Regions from separate parts of the Mus musculus genome. Here all the other regions are reported to be linked to region 1. Evidence: microRNA targets listed by miRTarBase, many of them from high-throughput screens and not tested one by one. Region 1 holds a microRNA gene; each other region holds the end of a gene's coding sequence.
What was found. The annotated mature microRNA mmu-miR-124-3p reads UAAGGCACGCGGUGAAUGCC and lies in region 1 at 2,447-2,466, opposite strand. An mRNA with a match to its seed (bases 2 to 7 or 8) in the 3' UTR can be bound and repressed. Matches are read on the target gene's strand: a 7mer-m8 pairs with bases 2 to 8, a 7mer-A1 pairs with bases 2 to 7 and ends in A, and an 8mer does both.

Region 1 (5,274 bases):
CTTGCTCCCTTACTTTTTAAATTCTTTCATATTACATGTTTCATTTTTATTTAGAAAATATATTTTTTAACTGATTAAGATTTCTGAAGCGAGAGTATAGGACTGCTGTAAACAAGTAGGATTAGGTCGGGGAGTATTATTGTGTTTTTATTATGTAATATGAATTACACTGATGTAGCAGGACTGTTAGACCCTTTTTGCTTTGTGAGGAGCTCAGGGGATTGTGAGGAGAGACCACCAGAATAACTAGGTCGTTGCTGGAAGGAGGAGCATCCATGACAACCTTCAGCACTTCAAACCCATTCCCATTTCTGGTGAGTTTTTTTTTTTTTTTTTTTTTTTTTTTTTTTCAGCGACACAAGAGGGGGTTTCTTTGTGTTTGAGGTAGCTCTTGTCCCAACAAAGTGTGATATCGCCATCTCACCCCCCCCCCCAGATTGTGTAAAATCAAATGCAAACCTAAAATTTGTGGATATAAAGATCCTAATTTACAGAGTTTTAAAATCAGAAAACAAAACTAAAAGCCACCTTTTTAGGATGGAGTGAATAGGAACTAGACCCCCAAGAATATCATTTCTGAGCTCATTTTTTCCTGAATCATTGGCTACATTTCAACCATTCAGGTGGAAGAGAAGAAATAGTATAAAAACATATTTTTTAGGCCATTGTTCATTTATGGACCATTTCTATGCCCAGGTAAAAATCACTGTCACTGTGTCTCTTTACAGCTTTGTTTAGTTTATCTATGACTGATGTTTGACAGTATTTATGATGTGAATCTACAAAGAAATTCAAGCATGGAACATTTTCTTTCCTGGACCCACGGCTGAATACAAACCAATCTATTGTCTATTACTTTTTCCATTGCACATATGACTCAATATAGAAATTAATATTTTACTATTTATATACAATACTCTCAATATTTAAATTAGAATGCTGATAATTTTAAATATATGTTGAATGCATTAATTCAGACACATTTGACCCAGGACTCCTAAGACAAATCTTCATTATATGGGATTTGGTAAGCTACTCTGCCTCCCTAGTGAGCTGTGCTCTGCAGTATGGTTTTCTCTGCACTGTGGGATTCAGGCCTCCTAGGACTGCAGTACCTCCTGTGAGGAGCGAGGCTCACTGCCAGCTCCTGGGCACCATCACCCTGCCACTCTGTGGGCCTTGGCCTCAGAACTCAGTAAGGAAAGCTGTCCCACAGAAAGCCTTGCTGAGAGCCACGAGAGTGGTTGCAGGCTTCTCTACTCCTGCCTGCTCTGGTCACTAAATCAACCTCAGTCAGAACCTTTTAAATATATTTTGAGGCACACTCTAGGGTCCTTTGAGAGGTATCTTTGGTGACCATATCTGAGATAAGATCCTCAACTGAAAACCGTGTGTTTCTCTTTTCAAGATTGTGATTTAAGAGGAAAAAAAATCTATTTAATCTCTCTCTAGCACATTTTGTTAACTACTCGGGTTTCTGGCCAAATCAGCTGATTGTCAGAGTGGATGGTTTCAGCAAAATACTGTTTAGCCTGTCTTTCCGTATTTCAAGGTTTTTATTTGTAAGTTAACTAATATCCTGGGGTATGGGGCTGGGTTAGAGAAGAAGCGATTCTATAATTCTATTGCCTTGTTTGCAGAATTACCACAAGAGGAGGGGGAGGAGGTAATGGAGGAGGAAAAGAAAGAGGAAGAGGAAGATGATCCTGTCAGCAAGGCGAGGGTGCGGCCACTTTGGGTTATCCTTCTCCAGCCTCTCCTTTGTTCCCAGGCCAGATAGGCCACCACAGAACAAAGACTTCCACCAAGGCTCTTTCTCAGCGGTGGTTTTCTTAGGCTTTCGGGTTATGGAACCTACCTTAACTAAGTACCTCATGGTCTTCCAAATACATTAATTTACCAAGTCTTAGAGTTCCTGGCTTGGCCTTTCCCTCTTATTGGACAATATTGACTGATTTGGGTATTGTCACTTTGCCTTGGCCTTTTAAATCCAGTCAAGGCTACCATGAGACTGGGTAAAGAATGGGAGAATAGTGAAAAGCTTGGGGCGGGGGTCCTATTTTCACTGATAATTGAGTCATTTGAGGTTTCTTATGCAGTGTGGTCTGGGGTTTCTCATCCGTTTTGTTTTCCCAGTTCGACCCAGAATTTTATTTGGAAAAGGCCAGCACTCTCTGAGTGCCATCTCTTAGACCGTTTGCACCAATGGGAACTACAGCTCTCCTGACAGCTGTCAATGAAACCTCTAATATTCCCCTTGGGAGTATGCATGCGGATTTCCCAGATTCTCGCTGAAAAACATTTGACTGTCTTGTATTCTAAAGATTTTGAATCAATGCGAGGGGTCCTTGTGTCGCACAGGATGGGTTCATTCTAGAATTGTTTCTCCCCACCCTTCCTAACTTCTCTCGGATGTCCTTCAAGTGCAGCCGTAGGCTCCGCTCTTGGCATTCACCGCGTGCCTTAATTGTATGACATTAAATCAAGGTCCGCTGTGAACACGGAGAGCAGAGTCTCTGATCTTGATCTAGAAGCAAGTGACTCATTGCAACTATTACTATAATTTTCTCCCTGCCCTTCACCCTCTCTTGGAGCTCTAGGCTTGGAGTCCCTACTCCTAGAGTTGTAGCTCTGAGCAGTACTCCCACCTCAGCTTTCCTCCCGCCACATCTGTCAGAGTTGCCATTAATTAGTCTGCAAGGTTGAAGAGTAGCGGGTGCATGAGTCTGCGATTCTTATGCATACATCTGCATGCCATTTACAGCGCACCTAAAACCCATACATATGTCTATAAATCTAGTTTTCAAATGATGACATGGATCGAAGTTAATTACCCCTCTGGTACAGATCTAATTTCGTAATCGTGTTATTTTACTGAAGGCAATTAACTGAGTTGGTTCGCCCTGAATGCCGTCCTAAGACATTTGTAAGGAAAGGCAAGTCTTTAAGGACCACACCATGAGTGTTCTGCTGCAGAAACCTTTGTCACTCATCCCCTGTTGCCAGAGATCTAGCAGAAAAAGCGAATATAATCATGCATGTTTGTATGTCCGACAAACACACGTATACGCCTTTGATAGCCCGATTTTGGTTGGGAAATTTTGGGAAAAGATCAGAATCCCAGGCCGGCTGGGTCCTCCTTCTTTGTATTGCGGAAAAATTAACTCAACAGCACCTGCCGAGTCCCGGGAGAGCTGGGGCCCATCTGGTCTGGCTATGATTTTACTGCGAAGAGAAAAGGCTGCTTGCTCGGGCTTCCTCCGGCTCTGGAGAGCAGAGATCGGGTCTGAGCCCGCTCTGGGCGTAGATTTAAGGGCAGCGCAGCAGATGCGCTCTCTCTGACTGCGGCGGGAGTCAGGAGGAGATCCGAGTCTGGGCTCGGCGGAGGGAGGGCAAGATGGAAAGAAGAAGAATGAGGGGAGTTGACCTCTACGGGCGGAGCCCTCTGGACGGCAGGCCGGAGGCGGCAAGCAGCGGCTCTTTTCACAGCATCCCTTGCGGCTGGGTGGGCCAGGGGGATGGACGGACTGCGCTCGCCTGAAGAAAGCCAAAGGGCTCAAAAGCAGGTTTTGTGCGGAGACCCCAGAGCGCTCCCCCTGAAAAACAGAATCAAAGCGCAGAATTAGAGCAGGAGGGAGGAGGGGGAGACTGGAGAGGAGGGACAGGAGGAGGGAGGAATCACTCTAGGGAGCCAAGGTGACCGGCCGTCCGGACCTATAGAATCGAGCTCGGGGAGCCCCTGCAATGTGCGGGGCGACAGGGGAGTTCCCAACTCAATCCCGGCTTCGGAAGGTGAGAAGATGCAGTCAGGACGAGAGAAATGTTTTCCTGAGATGGAGTCTTGAAAGCGAGTCCTCAGATTGTCCTCTGTGCAGTCTCAGCGATTTGCGCATCCCGCGCGCCCTTACCCATCTAACCCCTCCCTCAGACCACACGCCAGAACCGCATTCTCCAATCTCCACCCCTTCTTGGTTTAGAATCCTGCAAACTGCAAGACTGAAGAGTTCTCGCATGAAAATCGAAATGATCGATGAAATAAAGAATTTCATATAGGCATAGCCCTAGAAATCCAAAGGCGAAAGAGCTGCTAGCTCTGCTCAAACCTGCAGAGGACCAAAGCGTTTTCAGGGGCTGCTCCGCGTGTTCTCGGAGGAAAGAGGAGGCTGAGTGGTTTCCGCGATATAAGGTGCTTTAGGATGGGCGGTGGGGGCAGGGAGGGGGTGGATCGTAGCGGTCCGGTCTTTCCCCCTCGCTTGCTGATCCAGAATTAGGGATTAATGGCTCGCTCCAGCCAAACAAATAAGGCATCTGCCTTCAGCACAAGAGGATTACACGGGCTGCTGACGTCACCAGTCAGACAGATGTTGGCTCCCAAAGTCCTGAACAGCTCGCTGTGTCCTTGAAACCAAAGAGCTGCAGAAGGCGCGCAGCCCCCAAGAGCTGCGCCTGGGCAAAGCAAAGGGCACCCTCCTTGCCCTTGCTTACACTCTCCTGCACGCACCACACTGGCCCCAATACAACTACCTAAGACAGAGCTCCTCAGTCTCTCTTGCCTTCTGCACAGCCCCCAGTCAAGGTCCAGGCTGGCTCAACACAAGTCAAAGTCACCACACTTGGCTTCTGTCTCCTAAAATAGAGACAGTACTACTTTCTCAATCCTCATCTAAAATCTGGCACGCACAGCCAACACCTCACCATGGACAGAGCTAAGCTCCAGATGAGCGACCACCTCTTCATTTTATGGTTAAGGCATATCTGCATCTTTCGTCCCCACCATTGTCCTTTCCCCAGGCCAAGGTCTAAATTTTTTATGCTTATTCTTATGAATGAAGACAGGCTGGAGCACCTTCCTAAACAATGACTCCCAAACTGTCTCTGCTTTCTACCAGAGCCCTGGGCCACCATTACAAGAACCACAAGAGCCCATTATGAAATGATCAGAATACCACCAAATTCCATTTAATATCCTTCTCAAATGCTTTTTAAATATTTAAATTTTTAAAATGCGGGTGTCAAAAACATATCTATCATCTATGCTAAGAAACAAGGACATTCAAAGAATTGCAGTTTCATTCTCTGGACAAGCACGATGGCTAAAGATCCGGAATTCATTGCCTTACAAATCTCAACGTCACTTGAATTTTATTTCAAATTTAAATGTAAATTGTTTTTTTTTAATTTTTCTAACCTGTGTGTTGTTAATGATTTATACGATCTTCCAGGCCTTTACAGGTCACAAAGAAGACTGGTTACAAAATAAGTCAGAAGTCACAG
Region 2 (5,274 bases), not on the chromosome of region 1:
TCAAAGCCCGCCCCCCCCCAGTGACATACTTCCTCCAAAAGGACACACCCACTCCAATAAGGCCACACCTCCTAAGACTGCCACTCTGTATGCACCAAGCATTCAAACACATTAGTTTATGGGGGCCACTCTTATTCAGACCACCACATGCCCACCACTCATTCATCCCAGTGCTAGGCCTCCCTGACTGTGAGTCCCTGGGTCAACAAGCCTGTGCAGCAGAGTGGAGTCCTAGCCTCACAGTATGGTGAGGTACAACCTGTTGATGAATGGCAGCTGGGCCTGGGTCCTGTTAAAACAGAGCAAGTAACAGAGTCAGGAGTGATGGTAATTCCTCATGGATGCCAAAATGTAGGGACTTAGGCCCTTGGAATTCAAAACCACAAGGTTGAAAATATATATACCTAGTGGCTCTCTGCTGATTTCTACCTCAGTCATCTTGTCAGCAGAGTGATAAGGATAAAAGTGAATGAAATGACAGACAGGTCCATAGGAGAGGGGCACCGAGGAAAACGTTTCTCTCTGCTGATCTATTCATTGACTTATTCTCCTGACACCATCCCCACCCCCATTCCCATCCCCCCACCCCCACCCCGCACCTTGTGTGCGTAGGCTTATTCATCTTTGGGGAAGAGACTTCCTCCAGATGACTTTGGGACTAGACAACCTGTGGATTGTGTCAAGGTTAAACAGAGTAGCTAGTTAAGGACAGTCAATCCAAACCAGTAACTGCTTGATGCTTTACTACCTGTGGAGACCCTCAGAGAGGGAAGCTGCAGTCAATATAAGGGATATTACAAGTAGCAGTTTCCAAACTTTATAGTACGTTGTTTTTAAGATGTGTTGAATTTTTAGTGTGCGCATGTGTGTGTGTGTGGTGTGTGTTTGTGTATGTGTATGTGTGTGAGTGTGAGACAGGGGGGCACATGTGTGGTTTCAGGTGAACACAGACTGTTCTTCCTCAAGTGCTGCCAACCACTGAGTCATCCCTGAAGCCCCCATAATGCTTTATGGGGTAGGAAATAAAAACATGTCTTTATAAACTAACTTCATTCTGAAAAGGAAACTTATTTTCTCAAGATTACCTCGTTAGTTTAACAGGAGAGTTTATATAACCATTTCTTCCAAGTTCAAAATCCATGATCTTTTCCCTTTCTCTCCTCTTTCCTCTCTCCCTCCCCCTCCCCCTCCCCCTCTCCCTCTCCCTCTCCTCTCTCCTCTCTCCCCCAGCCTTCTGCTTCTCCTCATTCTTCTCTTCCCTTCCCCTCCCTCCTGTAATTCCAGCACCCAGGAGGCTGAGACAGAAGGATTGCCACACATTTGAGGCTAGCCTGGGCTCTAGTGTGAGACCCTGCATATATACATACTTACACAGCAGCTTGCATCATATATGAGGGCACATTTAGCCCACGTTTCCCTGTGTATGATAGAACCATTTGTAAAGCCAGATGCTACTCAAGCATGGATGGCATGCTGCAATTATGATTGTAATTCAAGTCTTGTCTAGTTTCCTTATTATAGTTGCCATTTGCAGCATATTAGGACTACCTTGGTGGCTTTATAGGGATGAGGCCCGGTGAATCCCCAAAGTCTCTCCATATTAGGAAATCTCCATTGTTTAAGAAAAACTTAGGGAAGTGGATGGAAAGGAGGCACTTAAAACATCTGTTCCTTTCAGCTAGGAACCATATGGCTATCTGCAGATTCTATCCCATCAGTTCAGCAGTTAAGTCATCCCATAGGATTTCTCTGGAGACTCGGGTAGCAGCATGAGGCCCCCTGGTGGCCAGAAGTAATTCACGCGTTTGCTTTTCAATCATTTTTAAGGGCTGGGTGGGCACTTAGCTCAAGAACAGAGGACCATTTCTTAACCCTAACCTGCCTTTGCCATGAAGCTGGGGAATGCCTGGTAACATATTCTTGGGGAAGTTGAGAATCAAAACGTTTTCTCTCAAGATATAAGAATAGACTGTATTTCTGGATAAGCCGCTCACTCTTCATTCTTGAGTTTATTTAACACCTCATTTGAGTATTTGTTGTGTTTCTTCCCTGTGCAAGCTAATGCACCAGCCAGCACACTAGGTACAGTATACTGTACAGATTTGTCTAAGAAGGCTTATAAGGGAGAAATAAACACACTTATATCGCCCATGTAATGAGAAGCTGAAATTGCCATAAACGATAAGAACCAGTAGCTGGGGAAAGCACAGTGTGTTCACAGAGGAGACAGGCTTCCGGGAGGAGGTAGCTTTGGAGCCAGAGTGCTGATGAGAAGCAAGATTTGGGTCGCCTGGGATGGAGAGGGGGATGTGAAAAATGGTGTTACCATTATAAGGGAGAGAGAAACGTCTGGGCAGACACAGAGGCAGGAAAACCAGAGCCTAATGCAGGTTGGTGGAGTTAGTCTGGCTGACTCATACGACAGGGTTATTGGATTGGGAGTGAAAGATGAGATGTGTTTAGAGCAGTCCAGAGAAGCTTCAACTTGCCCTGAGAAGTTTCTTTATACAGCAGTTTCTTTTTGCCTGTCATGGACTTAAAAACAAAACCAAAAAACCATATCAAGACAGGGCAGTCCCTGCCCTGCAGTGAGCCCTATTCATTCACTGGCATTCAATGTTATTAGAAACATTAAGGTGTTTCCAACTACAAAAGCTAGCAAGGACTGGGGAGTAGCCAATGTCAGATGGCTACTGGCAGACTTTAGGAAGTCCCTCAATAGAATCCCTTCCAATGAATGTAATACGATAGGTGCCTCCAGTCTCTGCAAATGCTAAGACTTCATCCTTAACTGTCTTCTTACTCTGGTTGAGTGAAGTTTAAAGTACAGTAATGAGAAATGATTCTTACTGGAGTATATAGGATATTGGCTAGCTCAGAGCCACAGTCTTATCCTATTTGTGCAGTACAATGACCAGTGGAATATGCAACCCGTACCAGTTCATAATTAAATCATCAAGAAGCACAAGGCACATTTAATAGCACACTGTTAAATCTCCTACCCCAGGCACTGATTTCCTACTGGCATTTTTAGAAACCCTTAAGAACATATTAATATATTATATATTAAGTATTGCTGAACTGTAACATGAAATGAAAACAACAATCTTCCAGTAGAAGAAGAAATTTCCAGCTGAGAAACACGCAGCTGATAATTTACAAATGAGATGAGGGGAAGTGGACAATTCAGAATAGCGACAAAAGTAATAAAGACAAGGGTGAGAAAGATGGCACGGGGGTTAAGAGTGTGCACTGTTCTTGCAAAGGACCCACATTCTGTTCCCAGGATCCAGGCCAGGCAGCTTCCAACGACCTGTAACTCCAGTTCCAGGAGATCAGGCGCCCTCTGCTGGACTCCAAGGACACCTGCACTCATTGCACAAACCCCAGCACAGCCTCACAGGAATATACATAATTCAAATAAAATAAATCTGAAAATAATAAGGACAGCAGAAACTAGCATTTAAGTTTCAGCAGCCATGAGCATTTATTATTTTGAGTGAAATGCACACTGAACTTTTGTATAAAAGCCATCAAAGGTGCTAGATTGGATTATTTCAATATTAATTTAACTGTCCCTGTGTCATCTGTGTTACCTACATTTCTGTTTTCTTCTGACATATCATTACAACCATCTACAATTGTCCATTGTTAAAATATAAAAAATATTAGTCTATTCTTCAAAATAAAGTACCTCTAGTGATGTTACTGAAAGTGAAAATTCTTTTAAAAAGGGGGGGGCAAAGAATCAACTTATTGGAAAAAATATATATGTATATATATAACAGAACTTCTTAGGTACGTGGGAATGCCAAGCCAATGTAGGCTTTTGGTGGAACGTTTTTATAACACCACTTGCCAGGGCTCTCATTATTTGTCCATTCTTCCCTTGGGTACTTTCTAAATGGAACCAACTGTTATTTAATGCTGTGCATCTCCCACACTCCCTAAACGTTTAACAGGAAAAGCAAGCTGATTCCTCTGTCTGTGTTAGAAATAGCCCTTAGGGTTAAGTTTGTCGTTAAAGATGAGTTATTCCCTACCAAGGGGGAACCGTCTTGACCCCTCATTTTCAGTCCTCTCTATGCCCTATTTTTCATTTTGGTAGTTCATTCGAAAGTTGAGCTCATCCGGTACCGGGCTGGTTTCCTATGAATGAGTTCACTGAGTTAGAGCAGTGTGGGCGGGTGAGCGTTCGCGTTTGCTCTTACTCAGTCTTAAGCAAACAAGCACCTCTGATTTACCACAAGAGCGGTCTGACTCTCGCGTCTCTTGACTTTCTTGTTCCTTTGTCTCACCTTCCAGCACAAGGCACTGGAGGCTAGTAAAAACAGTCCGGAGGACAGAAGGACCAGGCCGAAGATGGAGATGATGGAACCATGGGAATTGAAGCTGTAAGCCACAGCGGTGACCACAATCCCAGTGATGAAGACCACCACGGCAAAGGGGATGATGCAGCGGTAGCAGGAGAGTTCGGCACCCCCGGTGGCGGCCATCAGCTGAACCTCGCTGACCAAGGGTCCCGTGGTGACCACAACTTCCCTCTTGGGGTTTTTCTCCATTGTCACAGGTGTGGGAGATTTTGGAGCTCCCAGGTTCTCTTTTGTGGATTCTTCGGTCATTTTTTTTTCTTCTGTGGGATTTTTCTTATCTCGCTTCACAGGCTAGATTTGGAAAGCCTGGTCAGGATGCAAGCTGTGAAGAAGAAGGTGGGAGACATCAGCTAAGATGGCAGCACCAGCCCTGCAAATGGTAGCAGAGAGGTGGAGAGGCCCCTCCTGTCCCAGGTCACCCAGGAGCACAAGCCTCACTTATTCACATTCTCCATTTGTGGGGTCTTTCGCACTGAGTGAAATAGAGGGTGAAACAGCTGTGCCCAGAAAAGGAGAGAGATAGAAAGCAGGAAGTGCTCTGCAGTATTTCCTCAACCGCGGTGGTCTCCAAGTATCCTTTATAAGCGTTCTTCTTTTGCGGATTGCCTGTGTTTTCTCTAAGCCCGGAAAAGCCCGAATCTTAATCCAAAGATGGCTCATTCAAGAGGAGACTATGCTATAAACAGTTCCACAACTCTCAGCAGCGTGAACTCTTGCCAGTTTTGCGGGGCATGACATGCATTCTTTCCAAGCTATCACCCATTCACTGCTCATGAGAGCAACGTCAGGACCAACAGCAAGTGCATAAATGGCATGCTTCTCCATCGGCTGACTCCTTAAACAGGGTGAACCGTAGAGTGTATGCTTGGGACCTTTCCAACCCCACCCTACCTCAAGTCCC
Region 3 (5,274 bases), not on the chromosome of region 1:
CCTGAGTGTGGAGTCTAAAGTTACATGCCAGAACTAACACTTTTTTGTTTTCCCCCTCTTTTGAAATAGGTTTTCATTATATAGTCCAGACTATCTTCAAACTCAAAATCCTTTTGCCTCAGCCTCCCAAGTGGACATTCCAAGGACTTGTGAATGTCCATAAACTGTCATTAGCCTAAAGTTCCAAACAGCCTATTTACCAACAAAGGAATACATATGCAAGGTGTGGTAATTCACACACAGAACACTCAGAAAAAAAATTATATTATAGTATGAACTCACCTAACATTTTAGAGAATAGCCAGTGACAATAAGTGCTGGAGTGGGTAAAGTCAGAGACAGATAGGGACACTGGGCAGTAACTGATATTGGTTCATTTTCTAGTTGTGGGGACCTTCACCAGACGCATTTCAATATTTAAACTGTATACTTCGTCATGTGTAATTTATTATGTGTCAATTATAACTAAACAAAACCAGCTTAAAGAGTCTAACCACATTCTTTGTAATTCAAGAAGCCATTTTCTCTTTCCTTTTTTTTTTTTTCTTCCATTTTTAAAAAAGTTTTTCAAGACAGGGTTTCTCTGTGTAGCCCTGGCTATCCTGGAACTCACTCTGTAGACCAGGTCTCAAACTCCTAGAGATCCGCTTGCCTCTGGCTCCTAAGTGCTGGGATTAAAGGCATGCCCCACCACTACCCAGCTCTAAATAAATGCCATTTTTTTTTTTTTTTTTTTGGTTTTTCGAGACAGGGTTTCTCTGTATAGCCCTGGCTGTCTGGAACTCACTTAGTAGACCAGGCTGGCCTCGAACTCAGAGATCCACCTGCCTCTGCCTCCCGAGTGCTGGGATTAAAGGTGTGTGCCACCACGCCCGGCTAATAAATGCCATTCTTGTCCAAGCAGAGTCAAACAAGGTTCATATGAACATTCTCACTGTGATCGGTTTAATTCAACTCTATAAAGAACCAATCGATCTGACCAGTTTACGTTACTACAACTACCAATATACAACAGTGCAAATCTGTCATTACAAGTGATGTACTGAAGCAGTTATCAGTCAGTATGTCAGGTAAATGTACTTTTTCTACTTTTAAAACAGGTTTTCTTGAAGATCACTTTATAATTAGAGAATATTTAGAATGTGTAATTTCCAAACATGATAAAACTATCAACATCTGTAGATGATAAACATTAAATACCAGGATAATTTACATATTAAAAATTCAAGGTTTGAAAAACTGCCAACTTCTATAATTATCAGTAGGTAAAAACCTATACATGTTGTTTATATATAACAGCAATAAACAATTACAACTCAATTCAAAATATAATCTAATGTAATTGTGTAAACAGCATGAAAATTCTTGAGGCTAAGTATAATCTTAAATCTTTATGTAGAAAATTATAAAACTTTATTGGAAAGCATAAAATAAAAATGCAGAAATATACCATGTTTATAAATACAAAACTGTGGCATTATAAATTTGACAATTCTTCACAAATTAACTGATGTACAAATTCAATGCAATTCTTCACAACTGAAACCTCACAAAGGGTCTTTAGGAGCTTGATAAGAGGATTCTAAAATGTATACAGGAATATGTGACTTCACCACAGCCAAAACCATTGCAGAAACTAAACCCACCAGGAAGGTAGTTACATACCATTGAAATGAAGAAATTACAAATTTATATGACAAAATCCAGTGAAAATACAAGCCACAGATGGGGCGAACACTGCAGCCATGGAAACGCCAAGGGGTTACTACCAAGGTGATGTAGGGAACTGTGTACATCCACAGAGAAAGTCTCACAGAAGAAAACTCAGCTAAGGGTTTGAGAAGGGAAGGCAGGAGAAGCAGAGGAGCTGTAACTAAACTAAAGGGAGGTCAGCCTCAACAGCAACCACAAACAGGCTTTAAAACAAACATGACGCTTCAAACTCAGAGCAGTGACGAGTGGCCCGGCAGCATCAAGTACTGAGGAGAATATTCATTCTGAGCTATCTGTACCAATTCTATCTCCATGAGGAACAAGTTCTTCTAGCAATATTTTATTTCTTTTAAAAATCTGGTACATATAAAGTTCTTCGGTATGATTTTACAGGCACCTGTTTCTGGAAATATTACATAAAAATTATAATTATGCCCAAACACAAAATACCATGTAATTCTACCCCTACCTTTTACACATTTAAAGATCTTTATCTAGGTGAATGTTTTTTAAAAACAATTAGTAACGAGTCTGTTAGCTGTCTCTCTGCAGCTTGTCTTCTGGGAAGTTAAAGCTTATCACTTCTGTCCTAGAAATTGCCTCTACAATGTTCCCTAAAAAACAGCGGGGAGGGGAGGCTAGCAGGAGCCCTTTCTGAGTTTACTCTCATTTCAATGGACTACTTTTTTTTTTTTTAATTTCATTAGCCTTGCCAATATCTGCACCAACAGAAAAACAAATACACCCAAACACTTAGGATTGATTAAGGGAAACCAAATTGTAAACACTACCAAAGGAAAAACTTAGATGCTTAAAGCTTTTTCCGCTTCTCAGCCTGTGTCCCCTAGCCCCTTGGACTCCAGGCTGTCTTAGACACAACTAACATTTATGGAGAACCTGTGCTGAAGACATTTCAAAACCTCTAGACCCATTTGCTTTTCATATTTTTTTTGAAGTCAGTTTAAGTTTATGTGAATGTTTTACCTGCATGCATACTGTCTGTGAATGTATGTAATACCTGTAGAAGCCAGAAGAGAACATTAGATCCTCCTAGGAGTTATAGCTGGTTATTAAATGTCATGTGGGTCCTCTGGAGGAGCAGTCAGTGCTCCTAACCCCTGAGCCATCTCTCCAGTCCAAGGTCAATATTCTTTATTTCCATGTTTTCAGATACAAATACAGGCTTCACCTTGTTAGCCAGCTTGGGAGCTGGCCAAGGACAGGTTCTAATCCCAGCAGTTTCGCTTCAGGATGGGGAGGTGAAGAGGAAAAAGGAAGAGGAGGAAGGAGGAGGGAGGAAAAGATGGTATATGTAAAGAGAGAGAGAGAGAGAGAGAGAGAGAGAGAGAGCAGGAAAAGAGTACTCCTCACTGATTGATATAGCCCAGGCTAGCCTTGAACTCCCCAAGCAGGCAAGGATGATCTTAAACTATGGAGTGCTGAGATTTGAGGCTTGGGCTGCCATCGTTGGCTTATGTATGCAGTAGTGCAGAAGGATGGACGGGGCTAGCTAGACAAGCAGTCTTCCAACTGAACTATGGAAACAGGCCTGGAAGTTGTATGCCCTCAGTCAGTAATCTTCCCTATTTGAGTGACCAATTATAAAATATTTACCAGGAAGACAATCTAATAGTTATAAATATTTTTCAAACAAGAATGAAATGTCTGAACCATTTTAGTCTGTTCTATTGGCACTTAAAATTACTATTGTAATTCTATCTCCTGCTTTGAAAAGAGGTTCCATTTTGCAATGCTTATACCTTTAGGATGAAGAGTTCATTGTAATATAACAACGGGGCATTCTTTATTTTCACTTCTTTATTGTTTGCTTATTAAACATACATTCTCAAACTGACACTTTGTCATGAATAAAGCAACAAAAAAGGTGTGCCTTACACACAAACATCATCTTGTAGGACTAGGAATCTGAATCCTGTACAACAAAAAGTCAGGAGCAGAAAGCATGTATTCTGAGCACACACAAATGTGTGTACACACAGCACACACACAATACAGCTTGCTTAGGTTCCTTTATGAGCATAATTCCTTAATCACCCTTTTGTGAAGAATGAATCTTAAGAAATAAATCTGAACTGCATTTATTTTCACAATATCAATGTTAAACTCAGGAGAAGAAACATCATTGACTAAATGTTAAACATTTCAAACGTAAAAGGCAACCTTAATTTTTAGTAACCCTCTAAACAGGGTCTGGAAAAAAAAAGTAGATTTTTTTCTCTTGGTATGAACAAAAGATAGTAAACAAGCCTGATGGAGAACGCCTACGTGTATAAACCCGTCTTGGGAACCGTGCTCTTTGCAAGCCTAAGAAACCACCAGAAATAATGGATATACCCATGCAGCACAAGTGCAAAGTTACCTCTACACATTTGTACAATTTTCAAACCCTCGCTTCTAAGACAATTTTAGTACACCTAATAAGTACAGCAGATCATTTAGAAAAAACAGAAACAAAATATATACCCAGTCTTTGCAATTCAAAAAAATTTTAACATGAACAATATTCAAATATAAAATTGCACTAATTTTTTTCTAAATATGATTTATGCAATCAAGGTTTTCTTTAAACAAGCCAAGCCTGAAAGATCTAATGTATACAAACTAACAGTAGTGTATTTTCCAAACACATTCTTCCTATATTATGATACGACATAACTGTTTTCTGAATGAAGGTTTATGTTAAAGTTTAAGGTGTAAACACTTTAGAAGCAACTTAGTTAAATTATTGTTCAGTTAAAAGTAACATCATCTCATAACAGGCTCCCGAATTTTCAAACTTTCATGTAAAAATACATTTACATCTTAAATTTCTAGAAAAGGCACATTTTATGTAGAAAAGCAGCAAATTTTTAAACCCACCAATTTACTGAAAAAGCCATTACTTTTTATTAGAAACAATAATGCTTTTCAAGGTGTTGGCAACAAGGCATGCTAGAGCACACATTTCATACAGTGTATTTCTCCCCTTAGTTACATTCCAGAAGTGGGTGGGCCACCGCCTTGGCTGTGGGAAGCTGACGTATTTGACGGACTGTGTAAGCTGGTCTCCTTGTACACAAACCAAGCATTTCCTCCCCAAAGTATCATATTCAGAAAGCCAAAGATCTATAAAGAGGAAAACACATAAGAATCTAATGTTTGCTTTCAGATACATACAGAGTAGAATAAAAATGAAGACTACATACAGTCCACTGTACAAATTATGGATTGCTAATGACTTATACCCAACATGTTAAACCTCTATATCTAACATAAAACAACAAAAATGAAAACCTTTTATTTCTGCATGTAGAACTTCTGATTACATCTGAGAAAGGTGAGATCTTCCCCTTATTACTTTGAATTTAGACTTTGGTATCTAGGGTGAGGAGGGTCGACGGGGAGCCGAGTTTGCATCTTTTACATTTGTACTTTTCTTCCATTGACTCTCCTCCTTCCTTCCCTCTTCTAACTGCTCACTGCTATTCCAACAGCTGGAGCCAGGCTGTACTTTACATCCTACCTCATCAACACAAGAATTTCCTTTCCACATACTCAGAG
Region 4 (5,274 bases), not on the chromosome of region 1:
CTGCATCTGGAAACCTCTGGCCAGCCAGCCTGTATCTGCAAGCTCTGGCCAGCCAGCCTGCATCTGGAAACCTCTGGCCAGATGAATGCTACAAGAAAAAGCCAATTGGATCTGCAGCTGAGTTTCTCTTAACTTTGTCTCTTGACACCTGTAGTCTCAGAGCCCTGGCTTCCACCTCTACTAGAGAAGGCCACTGCCAAGTTCCCAGAACTGTAGGAAGGAAAGCAGGTTAAAAATGAAGTTGTTCATGGATGCTTCTGCTCTTCTTCACGGCCAGAGTCGGCAAGGTTAGAAAGTTTGGCAAAGCTCATGTGAGCTGAGACTTTTTTTTACAAAAATAACTTACCTTGTGGGCCCCATGGAGTCACTTGCAGAGCCTGGAAACTACTTCTGTGAGCAGCCATGAATATGGAACCTGCTTCTTGGTATGGGTGGTGCCCTGTTTGCTGGAGGTCAAGGGGTCTTCAGACAAGATCAAGCTTAAGTTTTTTGGACAGCAGGCCAGAGGACAGTGAAGTTGCTGCCCTGATAGAGAATTAGCCCTAAGAAATAGCTGCTCTAAATTTACAAGAAAGCAGGGATAAGGCCACCAACCCAACTGCTTTCTAATTTGAAGGTGCTGCATGTCCCCAGGGCATCCCATAGTACAGGGGTCTGAACTACATATTTCTGAGATCATTATATAGGGCAGAGAATGGGTCTCCAGCATCTTTTAATTGCGTTGTCTAAAAGCATCAAGCCTACACCAAGTATAACACATATTATAAATAAATGCATTCATTAGTGAATGGATGGAACAGGCAGTTTGAGACTATGTAAACTCGTTGTTTGAGTGGTCTCCCCCACTCCCACCCCATAACATGCTTCCAGTGTTCTTTGCAAGCACAGGCCTTTACCTCAGAAACTAATTTTGAAAAGCAGAAACATTTCCCAGTGTAAACACAGCTCAATCAAAACTGTCAAGAGCAATGACGCATTAAACTAATCCATTCAGTCCTTCATTCACTCAACAAACACTTACTAAATCTTCATTACACAGCAGGCACTATGCCAAGTGCCAGAGACAATGGAAGAGAAAAAGATGAAGTTTCTAGACCACCAAGGCTCTGGTTTTCTTAAAGCCTCTTAAGTAGTTCAGATGTACAGTGGAGGTGAAGAAGTAGATCATCTATTCACTGCCCAGACACTTCAAAGAATGTATGGCTTGAGTCCTACCAGTCCCAGGGATGCATGTCAACTCCTCCAAGACCTCCTGCTGCCTTCTCTCTTAACTAGTTGGAATCTCAGACTGAATTCCCTACTTCTTCTCTCAACTGCCAAATAATAAGTACAGGGCTGGCAGTGATGGTGTGTGCCTTTAATCCCAGATCTCAGGAGGCAGAGGCAGAGGCAGGTGGATCTCTGAGTTTGAGATCCGTCTTTAAAAAAAAAAAGGCAAGTACAAAAACAAACCACTAAAAGAGAATATTTTACATTTGTCTTGAGAGAGACAGGGAGAGAGAGAGAGAGAGAGAGAGAGAGAGAGAGAGAGAGAGAGAGAGAGAGAGAGAGAGCCAGGAGCTGGAAGAATTCTCAGCATTAAGGGTACTTGCTGTTCTTAAAGAGGACCCAGGTTTAATTTCTATGACTCACCAACCATCAGTAACTCGAGTTCCAGGAAATCTATGCCCTTTCCTGGCATCTGAGGTCAACAGGCACACACATGGTGCATATACATACATACAGGCAAACATTCATACATATAACACTTTTTAATAATAATTTAAAGAGCAGATAATGTATTTAGTTTAACCCAAAACTCTCCACCTAACCCATCTTTACTAAACACACATTCTACTTCAGACAGCCTAGAAATCTAAGGCAATCAATACAGCTTTCCCTACTGGATTTATTAACCAGATCTCCCCTTCTAGGTGCTGTCCCTTTAGAGCTTATGAGAAGCCTCACAGAAACAAGATGGTGGCCCAGCAGCCACATCTCCTCCCATCTCCAAGGTTCTCTCAGAAGTGGAGATGCTTAAGAACAGGGAAGCCTGGTACGAAAGAGCATCTCTGTCATGCGGACTTCTCATGCTTCCTGTCAATCCTGATTGTTCCCATGCTCTTCGGTGTGAAAGCTTTTTCATGTTTGTACCTCACAACATCCCTGCTGGAGGCTCGGGGACATTTCAGGCACCTACATCCCATCCTCTAACACAGTGGTTCTCAAGATTCCTAATGCTGCAACCTTTAACACAGTTCCTTATGTTGTGGCAACTACACCCCCGCCCCCAACCCATACAATTATTTCATTGCTGCTTCATGACTATATTGTTGCTGTTAGGAATCGGAATGTAGATATGATATGTAGGATATCTGATCTGTGATCCTGAGGGCGTGGGACCCACAGGTTGAGAACTGTTTGTTGATCAATCACAAATACTGTTCTTGGGTTCTAGGGCACGCTTGAGTTCCTGGTTAACTCTGAGTGGGCCTCATGTGCTGAGTTCATACTACATAACCATGCAGGATCCAGAGGGCTAGGATAGCCTGCCCCTTGCCCCTCAGCAGAAGCCTGCAAGGCAGCCTCCCAGGGCTTGGTGTGCCCTCCCCTCTCCTTCAGCTTCCACAGATTTTCTTCTCTGGCTTCTACTTCCTCTGGCTTCCTGCTGACGTGTTTGTTTCTGTTTCCATCATATCCGGATGAGGTGACGGCTACACTGAAAAGTATAGGTAAGTTTCTTCCTGTTCCAAAACATCACAGGCTAACAATAATTTACCCAGAATGTACACGATATTCGCTATTACAAAAGCAACCCACGGACTAGTTAAAATACAAGGGAGATTATTCTTATGCTTTCTGCAAATTGCCATTTTACATATGGAACTTAATCATCATTAGATGCTGGAATCCGCAACTGGCCCTTGAACCAATTGCACACTGGTACCCCCCGGGAGGGACTATTGTTCTCCTATGTAGCACCAAGACTGGATAAGTTTTGGTAAAAGACTTGCTCATTTCACCATCTTAAGACACACTAGAAAAGACACTCATGGAAAAGCCATGGATAGTAGTAGCTCGCACAAGAATGTCTTGGCCTTAAGTCTCAGTTCTATCAATAGTTCTGCAACACAAGACCACTAAAAATGTCTAATCCACATTGCCTTCCTCTGTGGAGGAATAAGCCGTACCTAGAGCTGTGGATGGAGACAAGAAATCGGGTAAAGAAGTCAATCTCCATTCCTGACTTACATGGTAAGTACTGACCAACATGCTAGAACTTAAAACAAAGAAAACTCCAGCTCGGCATGCATTTGTGAAAATACACACGTCTTGATACAAACAAAAATAATTTTTATGAGGAATCATTTCTTAAAATAGAAATATATTATTTATTCAGTGAGAAACTAATTTTTTAAAAATCATCTGTTCAGAACAAATTTTCACCTTTCAGGCCATTTGATTGAGGCACATCATTGAAGCGCATATTTTATTATTATTATTATCATCATCATTATTATTATCGTCCACATTTTAAATATTATGTTTCCTTCTTTCACATAGACTATTTTATCCAGTAGAAATTCCCCGAAGGAGCCACAGCACATTCATAACAAAGACAGAGTAGAGCACTGTTGTTCCCCTGCAGCTTTCCGACATGACAGATCACCTAAAATAAAGCTGGCTGTAGCCCGTTACAGACGTTACCTAGTGTCTACACGTTGGCCGTGATCATCGACACTTCCTTGATATGCAGAGACAAAAGGGAGCCTCTGCATGCTGAATGCAGCTATTTCTTGAAAAGACATTTGGCCGCCTTTGGACGGTGTGCTGGTTGGTATCCGGGTGCCTTCTCAGGGTCAATAGAAGTCAATCAGATCCAAGCACGGGAAATGGAAACCAGTAGCCCCCACTCTCTCCCCAACTCCTGGGGCACGCAGGCAGCTTTCGGATGTCCAATCTTGGCTCAATTCAGAAGGAAAAAAGGGAATGGTACATTCCTGGCTGAGTTGGGGTGATAATGCAGTTGGTTTGGGGACGCATCGATCCATTCAAGCATTCAGGGGCTAATCTTCCCAGTTCCTGGAGGTTTTTCTTTTTTTTTTCTATACCCTGAAAACTTCCCTTCACAATCTCTTTCCTCCAAGGGCTTTTGAGCATAAGAGTTGTGTCCACAGCCTACTAAGTTGCATATCCCAGGGTCTGGAGTTGCCAAGAGGAAAAAAAAATCATGCCTGGGAATGTTCCGATTTCAAAACTCCAGACAAGTCATCTCAGCAGACACCTCCTAAGTGCCGGAGGCAACGGCTGGAGTCATGCTTCCAGATTTCAGTAGGTGCAAATGATTTTAGAAGAGCCTACCCAGTGGCCTCTTGTCTATGCTGTGTTTCTGAAAGGCCCTGTAAAGTATGCAGACAAAGCTAGACATGGTGATTTAATGGTACAAAAAAAAAAAAAGACATAAAAATATTCCCTGCAGCGGAAAAAAAAAAATACATGTAAACATCTCCTCCGAGTCACTGGAGAACCCTTGAGCCTGTCCGTTATGTCTTCCCAATGTCCCGCAACTCTCTTGTTCACCGTTTCTCTGTGGGTATCAGTCTGCCTTCTTCTTTACAGAATTTGGACTCCGAGACTGCCTTTGAGGCTGGTGTGGTTTGATTGGCAGAAAGAGGATTATCAGCAGACATATGATGTGTAAAAAAAAGAACACGGACCTAGAAGTAAAAACACAAGAGTTGCCTTTCAAAGAAGAACGTGAACAGAAAACACACATGACATCATCTTCAGTGGGATGAAAGGAGGCTGTGCTCAATGGCAGCAGAAGCATCGAGTCCCAACGACTCTCTCACTCCTGGCTCTGGTGGGCAAGCAGGTCAAGGATGTATGAAACCACAAAGCTGGGTGAGGCAGACACAGCACCATCCCACTGACATGATCAGACCAAGAGAATTGCCTGTGCGAAGCCAAACATTCCGGCTGATCAAAAGCCGGGGGTCAGCGCACATGGGAGTTCACTCTGTCCTCTAAGCACAGGCACAGCCTGATCTCCCACCCATTTCTCCGGGTTGAGGAGTTCTCATCTACCTCAGGAACAGGAAGGATCCTGATTTACTAAAAGCTCTAATTCTATGACTCATTGGAGAGGCTTGCGAAGAGGCGCCATAGCGCATGTGTGGTCAGAGGATAAATTTTAGGAGTCAGTGTGCTCCTTCTAGCACAGGTTCCAGGGATTGGACTCAGGCTGTCGGACTTGCACACCAAGTGCTTTTAGTGGCTGAACCATTTTACTGG
Region 5 (5,274 bases), not on the chromosome of region 1:
AGATCTCTCTTCCCGCCACTCTCCCACCTCATATTTATCCTGCCTTGGTTCATTGGCCATAGGCTTTTTATAAGAGATTGTCTTTATATTCAACCATGCACACATAAGTAGAGTGTTTAATCCTAGCAGTTGGGAGACAGAGACAGGCAGATCTTTGAATTATAAGCCAGTCTGGTCTACATAGAGAGTTCAGGACAGCCAGGGATATAGAATATAACCTGTCCCAATTTTTTTTTCTTTGTGTTTTGCCTGCAAGTATGTATGTGTACTGTGTATATGTCTGGTCCTCTAGAGATCAGAAAAAGGCATAGGAACTGGAGTTAAGAATAGCTATGAGCCATTATGTGGATGTTGGGAACTGAACCTGGATCCTTTCCAAGAGCAACAGGTGCTCTTGAACAGTGAACTATCTCTCTAGTCTTCTCCCCCAAGAAACATGTTTCTTAATATACAAAATGTAAACACTCTGGTGGAACCACACAGTATGAGTGCTTTTCTAAACAAAATGTGTGATTCTTTTTTGGTTTTTCGAGACAGGGTTTCTCTGTGTAGCCCTGGCTGTCCTGGTACTCACTCTGTAGACCAGGCTGACCTCGAACTCAGAAATCCGCCTGCCTCTGCCTCCCAAGGGCTGGAATTAAAGGCATGCGCCACCCCCCTCACCCCACCCCCACCCCCCGACCAAAATGGGTGATTCTTGGAGAACCTATCCAGACTGTGTCATTGATTCATTGCTGACCAGTGTCCATGATGCATAGACATGTGCAGAGAGTTGAGCATGGCCCTGGACCTATTCTGTTTCTGTTTTGTCTTAGATTGACTTACTTTCTCTGTTTTCTCTATAGTCTAAGGTTGTGGGTGGCAGAGAGAATGGCAGCGATAACCTCCCTCCCTCTCCTGGAAGTGGTGACCAGACATTGCCGGATCATGCGCCTTTCTAAGCCTGTCCTAGCTTGCCAGCCACAGAGTACAGAAGCACACGCTCATCATCACAGCTGCAACTCTGCATGACAGAGCCACCAGCCAGAGACAGTGAAGAGCTGGTTTTGAAGACAGTCATACCCATGTTCATGCAGATGTGGCTGCCTTGGCATGAATTAGAGAACAGTCTTGTACATAAATGTTTTACACTAAAGTTCGTAGATGAAGCAGACCACTGTGCCATCCTTTCAAGGGCCACAGGAAATGGACAGGGTGGCGGGGCACTCAGGCCTGAGGAGCACTGAACCAGGAGCCCTGCTCCCTTTGAAGGTCTCAGCAGAGTGCTGAGGGAAGAAGTGTGAGTATTGAGTGAACAGTATTTCCTTCCTGACCTCCTCCCCTAGCTCAGGAGGAATACACTTACCTAGGTAATATCGCATGGTCGCAGTTGTCATACAGACTGAGAGAGAGTTGTCTATTTTCTGAGACCCTAGAAAGGAAACATAGCAACTGCTTCATTCTTACACTAACAACCTGGCTTTGGCAGAAGCAGATTTACTATTTTTTAAATGTGATAGTCTTTTCAAAAATTAAATAGGAAAAAAAAGTGAGGCAAGACAGCTTTAGCCTCATTGTTGAATATTATTTCTTTGAATTCAAGCTGAAACTCAAGCCTTACATTGCCTTATGCTTTGTTTATAGTCTTTTTATATATCTAAATAAATGAAGGTTCTTTAATGGGTTATGATACAATGTAGAATTTTATTCTGGCCCATCTCATACTCCTGCCAGTACCAGTTATTACATTTTATTTCTTTAATACTTTCTCCTGGTGTGCAAAACTTGGTTCTCTTAAGGAGTGGCATTTTCCAATAGCTTTCCACTCTGACCCACAGGGCTCTTGTGCTGTAGGTTAGGAGAGCTGAGAGAAGAAAAAAAAGCCTTTATCTTTAGCACCTGAATGGGATGTGCCCTGCACAGTGTTGCTTTACTGACAGTGGGCAGGGCTCTGGTCCATAGTCTCTGCCTGTCTGTTTATTACATGGAGAATAAATGAACCAGCCTTACAGATCAGGTAGGGGATGTGGTTTTGGTTCAGCCAGAACTCTGCTGTCATCTTTTCTCAGGAGCTTCAAAGATTTCTTTCTAAGTTCTTTCCTCCTGCTTCCAATTGCCACATTCTGCAGCCTCTCAATACCAGGGCCCTGTGTGTTGAGATCATGATTTGGAGAGAGGGCCAGCACTGTGCCTTAATGGCTCTTAGCAGGGCAAAGACTTTATCTGTTTGTACACATCTCTACACTCCTAGGGTGAGGTGGGATTTGTCCATTTTAGTTTCTGGTTTGACACAGTGTGAGGTGTCTTGGTTATCAAGTATTCCTGGTTTCTTTGGACACCCTTAGAATACTCTACCACACAAAGCAAGGAACAACGAATAACTGGGGAGCTGAAGAAGAGCACACCATTGGTGTCTTCTTTTCCAGGGTTAAAAACAATAGCTGTGTGAGGGAACACATTACAGGAGTGTAGGTCACTGATATATCTTCCTACAAATATTAGCAGGCAGCTTGTCAATAAAGCATTCCTTTGGAGGAAAATCCACATCCATTTGTTTGGTCTGTCTTTTAGGATAATGACAAGAGATCAGAGTAAATGCATATGATTCCTTGCTTTGAACGGGGACAAGCAGGAGACAACATGTATAAATTACGAGTCTTTGGTGTGCATATAAAAAAGGAGGGAATTGTGTAGAAGGTGTATCTCTGGATAAGACCAAGAATATATACCAGGCATGCAATGTAGAGGTTTACAGTCCATTATCAAGATTGGCTACACTAAAGGGGCCTTTTTGTCCCAGTAAACATCTTGTTTTGCTGACTTTTGCTATGAAGCTATGCCAGGAGCTCACCTGGCAGAAGAGGGCATTAAGGAAGACCAGCATCTTAAGTCCCACTGAGAGAAGACTGTTACCCCATGGTACAACAATCCTTAGGAGGTATGCTCTTATTCTGCAGATGAGGGGCCATGTGAAATAATGAGTAATTGAAGACCCTTAAGTGCTTATCGAACAGGGTAAGTTGGAGTTGTGGGCCAGATTAAAAGGGCTAAGTGGTATGGGTGGGATGGGGAGTGACCCTCGCACTGGGCAAGCCTCGACCACAGGGCAACAACTACATCTGGGCTAGAAAGTCAATATTTGCACTAGATGATATTGGAAGACAATTCACTATGCTCCAGTCATTAAGCAAATACTATAACATGCTCTGTGGATGAGAGGTTGCCTACTGGGCTTTGTGGGTACATGACTGTGTTCATGGACCCAGGCCTCGACTGTACTCCTTAAAAGATGTGTTCCTCCTCACAACTCTGGTTCTCATCACATGAGGTGATGAAGGCCTCAGAGAGTACTGTAGACTGGAGCAAGCTGAGAATGGGTAGAACCAGGGCATGTTGGAGGGTTTGTACTAGGGAAGACTCCGACTGAGGATGGTGGAATCTGCCTAATTGATATAAAGGGACAAAATAAAGCTTAGCATCAAAGGCAAAACCTGAAAACCCCCTCAAATATGTAACTGCTGCCAGAATTCCTGTCATACAGTCTCTTAAAGGTTGACATACTAGATTGGCATAGTGGCATATACACCTTCAGCACTTAGGAGGCAGAGGCAGGTAGGTGTCTGTGAGTGTGAGGCCAGCCTGGTCTATGAAGAGAGTTCAAAGATAGCAAGGGCTACACAAAAAAACCCTGTCTATAAATCAAGGTTACAGTTAGGTTATAAATAAACAAATAAACAAGCTTGCTAATTTGTGAACATTTGTAAGGTTTTTTTTTTTAAACATGCTTTTGGAGTTTACTGTGAAGAACTGTCACAAGCATTGTGTGTGTGTGTTGTAGCCATTCTTTGCCTATAGTTATTGTGTGTAGTTTAATGACTATATTTCATTTGAATGTGCTTATTTGTACAGTTGGGCAGTTTTCCATATTTACTTATAAGTTTTCTCTTTCTCCTTTTTTGTTTATTTTGTTGACACGTGGTTTCTCTGTGTACCCCTGGCTGTCCTGGAACTTGCTCTGTAGACCAGGCTGGCCTTGAACTCACAGAGATCTACCTGCCTCTGCCTCCCAAGTGCTGAGAATAAACTGTCTGCTGCCACCCCTTGGCCATTTTCATTATTATAAATGGCATTACTATAGACATCTCAATGCATAAAACTTATGTATTTGGAGACTAAAAAGTATCCTAGATATGGAGGTAATCATTTAAGGTCTGATTCATCTTTGCAAATTCCCAACACAGCTTCATAGCTTCTGTCTTCAGTTGGTTCCAGGTCAATTCCATTATCTCTTCCAACTGTGGAATCGTTTGCTCATGTTCTCACTCTCAAAGGTCATTATATAGCTATATGTCATTATATAGCTCTTACCTTAGATTCAGAACCTTCTGTCTCTGCTAGGATGACAGGCATGCATCTCTATAGCTAGCTTTCCTTCTTCAGTCAATAGATAACCTGGCCTTTCTGCTTATTGGGTTTCTTGTTTTGTTTGTTTGTTTGTTTGTTTTTGGCTACTTGCTTGATGTTGCACAACTTACTAAGTTTCTTGAGCTATCTGCTGACAATCTGGGCCTAGAACATGTGCCAATTCAAATTCAGCCAGCGTGCAAAAAGGTATAAGATGAAGGGAGAAGACACTGTTAGAAAAGATTGGAATTTATTTAATGCGTTATGGGAGGCCTTAAGTATTATCTGCTTTGTTTTTGAAAGCTGACTTGAAGACAGACAGCAATAGTGGCACATATATCTTGTTGGTTAACCAACAGCTGTTTAATTGGACTTTATGCCTGCTCAATAAGAGAGAAATCACGCCTGATCCTGGAAACCTAGGCGACTATCTGGGGCTAGTGAAGTCATGGATCACGTTGCTAAACCAGCATAGTCCCTAATTACATCCTAAATACTCATCCCTACACCTATAGGTTAAGTGTAGTTCTCACTCTTCATCAAGGAAAACATCTTCTCCAGATAGAGATCATTACAGAAATTGAAACTGATCAGAATGCAGATTGGTGGAGCCCAGTCCCCACAGATAGAACTCCACCACAAGTCCTGAACTTAAGGCTCAGAGATCATTGTGGAAGAAGGGGAGGAAAAGCTGCAACAACCAGAGGACCAGACAGTTCGCTCTAAGATTTATCTCCTTAAAATGTCAGAGAAGCTACATCCGTGAAGTAACATAACCAACATGGCTGCCTAACTGACCTGAGCAAGGACAACATCAGCTAAGCATGGTGTAAGGGAGAAAGCGCACAGGGCCTCAATCCTAGCTAACTAAGGAATTCTGAGAGCTGGAGA
Region 6 (5,274 bases), not on the chromosome of region 1:
TGGAGTTACAGACATTTATAAACTGCCTGACGTTGGCACCGCAAATCAAACTTGGGTTACTCCAGAGGAGCAGTAAGCGCTTTCAACTTCTCTCCACGCAGTCCCAGATTTTTTTTCTTTCTCTTTCACATCCCATGTGTCCTTCAGGCACCTCTTAATTGTTCCATCTTCTGTGTGTTTCTTCTAAAACCTGAGTGGGATCACTGTTGGAGCCCTGGTGAGCAGGATGGGCCTGGAACCTAGCTGGAGTCTTCCTCAGCCATAAATAACACCTTTTAGAGACGCTGGTTGGTTTCTTCAGTGCAGGAAGGACATGGCTTCTCTGGTATTACATCAGTGCCACCCAGGCTGGGGACTGGGGAGGGAAGTATGCAAGCCCCGCCTTGACTGCCCTTTCCTTTACAGTATGGCATCAAGAAGAAGGAGGAGCGTGAGGCTGAGGCTCAGGCAGCCATGGAGGCCAACTCGGAAGGCAGCCTGACTCGACCCAAGAAGGCTATCCCACCGGGCTGTGGCGATGAGCCAGAGGAGGAAGATGAGAGCATCCTGGACACTGTCATCAAGTACCTGCCTGGGCCACTGCAGGACATGTTCAAGAAGTAATGATATTGGGTCAGCACCAGGAGCCCTGCCCACTGTACAGACCCCCGCGGAGTCTCCCCCCAACAAGGGATGTTGGGAGCAGATGCAGCCCCCCTACCCCCGCAAAAATAAGCCATAGTCCTAGATCTATCCTGCCCATGTCCCCCCTCGCGCCTCGGGAGCCTCTGGCCACCCCTCCCCATACTGCCATCACTGACCCCACCAGGCAAGGGTGTGACCCTCAGGCCCCTGTGCTGTGCATCCTTGCCTTCGGGTGGTTGGACCCCTCCTTACTAATCTTAAGTTCACCATCCCCACAGAGCCTGCCCAAGGTCAGGCCCCGAGGGCCAGCCCTGACCACCCCTGGATGGGTGGCTACCAGTCAGGGCCTAAACTCAGGAGCACAGCCATAGTGGGGTGGGACTTGGGGAATGAGCAGTGGGTGCTTGGGGCCCCCAGCCCTTCCCTGAGTCCATTGCCCCAGTTTCTGGACTTGTTGGACCTGCTGGACCATTCGCTCTGTCTTCCTGTCTGTGAGCTACCACCCTAGTCTTCCCCAGCAGCCTTTGCATATTTTGTCCAGCTGTCTCTTTCTCTGTTGCTCTGCAAGGTTTGGCTTAAGAATTCCATGGCCAGAGGAAACACAGCAATAGATTTGGAGCGGGTGGTCTCAGACACACTTGGAGTCCCTTGACATCGTCTGTAATGCACTTTCCAGAGTCCCATCTTTCCCTGATCCCACCTCTCCCTGGTGGCCTCCTGTCCTCTTCATGTGGGCAGGCAGTCTCCTAGGATCTTCCTGGCTTTACCCCTGGACACCTACCCTCCAAATGCCCGTCTTCCTAAAAGCCCTGGGTTCTGGTGATTCCCGCCCGTGCAGAGCAGACAGAGGGCCGCATAATCAAGTGTCCCACCCTCTCCACTATTCCTCCTCTGAAGGGCTGACAGTGGCCGGTAAATGCAAGCTCCTGGGCTTGGGCTGTGGTGTTTTGTTCTGTGTGTGGCCCAGGGGCAGTATGACCCAACTACTCCCCCTTTGCCCAGCCAGCAGCCATTGTTCTTCATATTTGTTTAATTTACATCATAATATGTTGAATCTCAGGTAAATGAGGTCTGTATTTGGTAAGTTTTATCTTGACAGAAAGGCCAGCCTGGTCTTCCCATAACCCTTCCTGTCCACAGTAAAACTGAATTAAGTGTCCATGAGTTTTGGGCCAGGTGTGTGGCTTAGCATTGACCTTCATGACCTTACATAGCTCTTTAGAGAAGCCATAACAATTAGACTGCAATACTATTCAGAATGCCCTCTGCCCAAAGAGATGAAGCATGCTCGGCCCACAGTACCTTGCTCACCTGGGCCATTCTCTGCGCCTCTGGCTGGTTTTCATGAATTGAGAAGCCAGCTCTGAGCAGATGGCCCTCTCTTGAGTCAATCCTGCATCCTGTTCCTAGCGCATGGGGCACCGGGCGCTGAGCTTAGAATAGCCCATGTGTTACCTGTCTGTCTGTCCTCGTGCCTGCACCTCCTGCATGTCAGAGGCCTCACATTTTCTCTCTGAGGGAATCACAGCCAATAAACAGTGATTTCACACCGTGTGGCTATTCCTTCCAAGACTACCATTCGACCTGGGTGTGGGAGGGGGTGCCCTCCCTCACACTGTGGACAAACACAGGGTGTCTCTTATTCTCCAGAGGGCAAAGATCCCTTCAGGACCCCAGTGCCTGGAGTGAGCCTCCAGAACATACAAACCTTCTTTCTCACAGTTCAAGGCTCTGGTGAATCCAGATTGTACTGCTTCCCCGGCTTGGGCCCACCAGGAATTTCACAGCCCTGTTCCCCTGCCCACCCCAAGGGGCTGTCCTGGTTCCCAGTAACACTAGTGCACCTTCTGGGATGGCTGCCCACTCTGCTGAATAGGGAAGAAGTGACCATAGGTCTTGCCAGCTCTCTCCCCTGGCACATTATCAGCCCCTACCTCAACCCCATTTTGCTTCATGCTCATCCCAGCCTAAGGTGCTATGGTCACATTTGTCCTAGAAGAGTCCTTGTCTGTCTCCCTTCTGGGACACCTCTCTTGTAGGAGATAGCAATGGTGGGAAGTCCTATGGCTTCCTCTACACATGGAATGTCCACAAAACCTGCCAGTCTGAGCAGAAAGGCTACATATGTCTCACTCTTGCTGGGGATGCAGGGGTGAGTGGAGGTGAAGAGCAAAATGGGGAAAGTGGGTACGATTTAGAGGGGTCATGCTTTCTCCAAGTACAGTAGTATCTCCTCTTGCTACCTTGGGAGCATCCCTTGTGTTGCAGGAAGTATTTTTTAAAAATGAACCCACCAGTTCTCCGGCAGGGCCTAACTAAGCTCAAGAGCTCCTGACAGCCTGCTGGCTCTCGCTACCACATACCCCACAGTCAGCCATCACATCACAATACCCATTACCTGGGTAGAATCAAAACTCTTAAAGCTTAATTAGCTAATCAGATTTATGTATCAATAATATCACAATTTACAAGATGCCAATACAATAATTTCAGAGCCAATTGATGATAAAAGCGTTATCCCAATATTTCTTTTTTTTTCAAGTCTTGATTTTTATTACTTAAAAAATGTGCATATCTATTTTGCTTTCTGACTCTGTGCTTGTGCCTTCAACACTTTCACAACGATTTTCTGCTCCTCAATAAGGAAAGCCTGCTTGATCCTGTCACAGACACACTTGGCACACATGGACCCACCATAGGCCCTGCTGACGTGCTTCTGTGTCTTAGACAGTCTCATAAGGACTTTGGGCCGCACAGCACGAACCCCTCGCAGTCTGCCTGGGCACACGCCACATGCGGATTTAGGTGCTTTCCCAACCTTCTTGGTGTAGAGGTAAACAATCCTGTTGCCAAGGGTTCGAGACAGCCTAGTTTTGTTAGAGGCTGTGTTGTAGGAAAGCCTACGGCGGTATGTCAAACGCTGGACCATCCTGAGTGCCTCTGAGCAACGTCCCCGGAAGAGGAAAAGGAAGGGGCGGGTGAGTTCAGGGGTCAAGTGTCCCAATATTTCTAACCTTGTGAAATCATAGCTACTTGTGGTTGAAAAATGCCACGTGGGTACATGTCCGTAGCCATCTTCCTTCTGAGAGACTCTCTGTCTCTGCAACTCTTAGCCCCGCCCACCCACCACCACCCCCCACCCCCCGTTCAATCACAGGCCTCTTCACTAATGTAATTGGACAGAGAAAATCCTGTGACACCCTTGCAACTGCCTCTGTACACCTACCTCCAGGCACCACTGAATGACCCAGATAACAGTTCACTTGCTGGGGTGGCAGCTACTTCCTTTTCCTGGAGGTGTACCTAAGACCCAAATCTCTGGGTCTTTGCTACATGCTGTCACCCAGCATGGATGCTCATATAGGGACACCCATTAGTCTACCCATCTGTCATCCAGTGTCCTACCTACCTCACAGCCCAGTCTGCATTCCTTTTGAACTTAAACAATGACCTGAATGTTTTAGCTGCTGGAGAACTTGATCAGTTGGCCACCCAAGGAATGATGGGTCAGATCCTGGTGAATTATGTTCTAGTATCATCTCGGGCCTGGAATAATTGAGGTCCCTTCTCCTGTAGTTTTGTGTGTGTGCATGTGCGTATGTGATGGGAGAGGTGTTAAATACTTACTGTGACTGGTGACTTCTGTCTGAAGGGAAATGGGTGCTGAACAGCGGGATCAGGAACTGATGATACTCGTAAGTGGTGTGGTGGCTGTCAGAGGAGGTGACACATAAACCAAGAAGATAGGAGGCAGGAGCCATTCTCTCCCTCCTTCCTGCCACCACTCTCCCTGTACCTGTGTGTATGTGTGTGTGTGTGTGTGTGTGTGTGTGTGTGTGTGTGTGTGTGTGTAGGGTATGAGTATTCCAAGCCAGCCTAGCCCCAAACACTGGAGGTCTCTCAACCTTTTGGATGTTGGCATATCCTGAACACTTTGGCAGCTTTCCAGTCTCTGGCTAGTTTCTCCTTGGTGTCTGCAGGCAGCCAGGCCCAATAGTCAGGCTCTGATCTGTGCTCCACTCGGTAAGACCTACCCAGAGAAGCAGAGCTGTTTTGAATCATAAGCTACCTAACCATCAAGGCATTCTCGAAAAACTAAAAAGACCAGCAATTAAGGACCATTTTGTCTATCCCTGCTAATCCGCAGCTAGACAAATCCTACTGTCCAGGACATACCCAGCAGGGCCAAGGACCCCTGGGTCTGGGCCATCTGTCCACATATTTTGAACACTGGCTGCTCTCAGGTCTTCAGTCTACTTCAGATCAGTTTTGAAAGGGGATGGGAAGGAGGGGCGGTGGGAGACATGGTAGGACTCCTTCCAGGGTGGATGAGGGGTACCTGTGACCAAGCCCAGTTAAAACCTGCCACAGGTGAAAGGGTGTGAGGTGCAAGGAGTACTATGTGGGAATTGCAGAAGAGGTCTGAGCCAATCATCGCTTGCCACTCCTCCCCACACCCCCCAGGATTGTTTCCAAGATGATCACATGCAGATCCTGCCCAATCAAAGCTAGAAAGACTCGATTGCCTAGAAAACCTCCTCTGACCTCCTCAACTCTCCTGGGGAGAGGCCTCTGTTCTTCCCATTCCTGCTTACTTGCCACATGTTCCCGCCCCAACCCCCAACCCCCCAAGGCCACATCTTCCCTTTA

Region 2: miRTarBase lists Tmem100 as a target of mmu-miR-124-3p. The part of its 3' UTR that is shown has no 7-base or 8-base seed match.
Region 3: the mRNA of Sypl is a reported target of mmu-miR-124-3p. Seed matches in the 3' UTR shown: 7mer-m8 at 4,551-4,557.
Region 4: miRTarBase lists Mboat1 as a target of mmu-miR-124-3p. The part of its 3' UTR that is shown has no 7-base or 8-base seed match.
Region 5: the mRNA of Tpd52l2 is a reported target of mmu-miR-124-3p. Seed matches in the 3' UTR shown: 7mer-A1 at 1,603-1,609 and 8mer at 2,167-2,174.
Region 6: the mRNA of Cplx1 is a reported target of mmu-miR-124-3p. The part of its 3' UTR that is shown has no 7-base or 8-base seed match.

Annotation. Positions count from the first base shown.
Region 1 is chr3:17,792,915-17,798,188 of GRCm38, reverse strand. It overlaps Mir124a-2 (microRNA 124a-2), which reads right to left and starts at 2,527; the gene lies at 2,419-2,527. Mir124-2hg (Mir124-2 host gene (non-protein coding)) reads right to left here. Exons shown (of 3, transcript NR_033490.1): 2 at 3,176-3,596. Gm51272 (predicted gene, 51272) reads left to right here and starts at 2,448; the gene lies at 2,448-2,504.
Region 2 is chr11:90,034,697-90,039,970 of GRCm38, reverse strand. Tmem100 (transmembrane protein 100) reads right to left here. Exons shown (of 3, transcript NM_026433.2): 3 at 3,466-4,695. The coding sequence starts at 4,622. The coding sequence ends at 4,218. Among named protein-coding and RNA genes, the nearest start is that of Tmem100, 7.0 kb to the right of the region's middle.
Region 3 is chr12:32,975,155-32,980,428 of GRCm38, reverse strand. It overlaps Sypl (synaptophysin-like protein), which reads right to left. Exons shown (of 5, transcript NM_198710.3): 5 at 927-4,839. The coding sequence ends at 4,705. Among named protein-coding and RNA genes, the nearest start is that of Gm40874, 18 kb to the left of the region's middle.
Region 4 is chr13:30,244,772-30,250,045 of GRCm38, reverse strand. Mboat1 (membrane bound O-acyltransferase domain containing 1) reads right to left here. Exons shown (of 13, transcript NM_153546.4): 13 at 3,352-4,697. The coding sequence ends at 4,577. Among named protein-coding and RNA genes, the nearest start is that of Gm40863, 12 kb to the right of the region's middle.
Region 5 is chr2:181,514,235-181,519,508 of GRCm38, forward strand. Tpd52l2 (tumor protein D52-like 2) reads left to right here. Exons shown (of 9, transcript NM_001373959.1): 9 at 846-3,728. The coding sequence ends at 941. It also overlaps a transcript of Dnajc5 not described here. Among named protein-coding and RNA genes, the nearest start is that of Dnajc5, 3.6 kb to the right of the region's middle.
Region 6 is chr5:108,515,458-108,520,731 of GRCm38, reverse strand. Cplx1 (complexin 1) reads left to right here. Exons shown (of 4, transcript NM_007756.3): 4 at 406-2,178. The coding sequence ends at 603. It also overlaps the pseudogene Gm10086. Among named protein-coding and RNA genes, the nearest start is that of Cplx1, 32 kb to the left of the region's middle.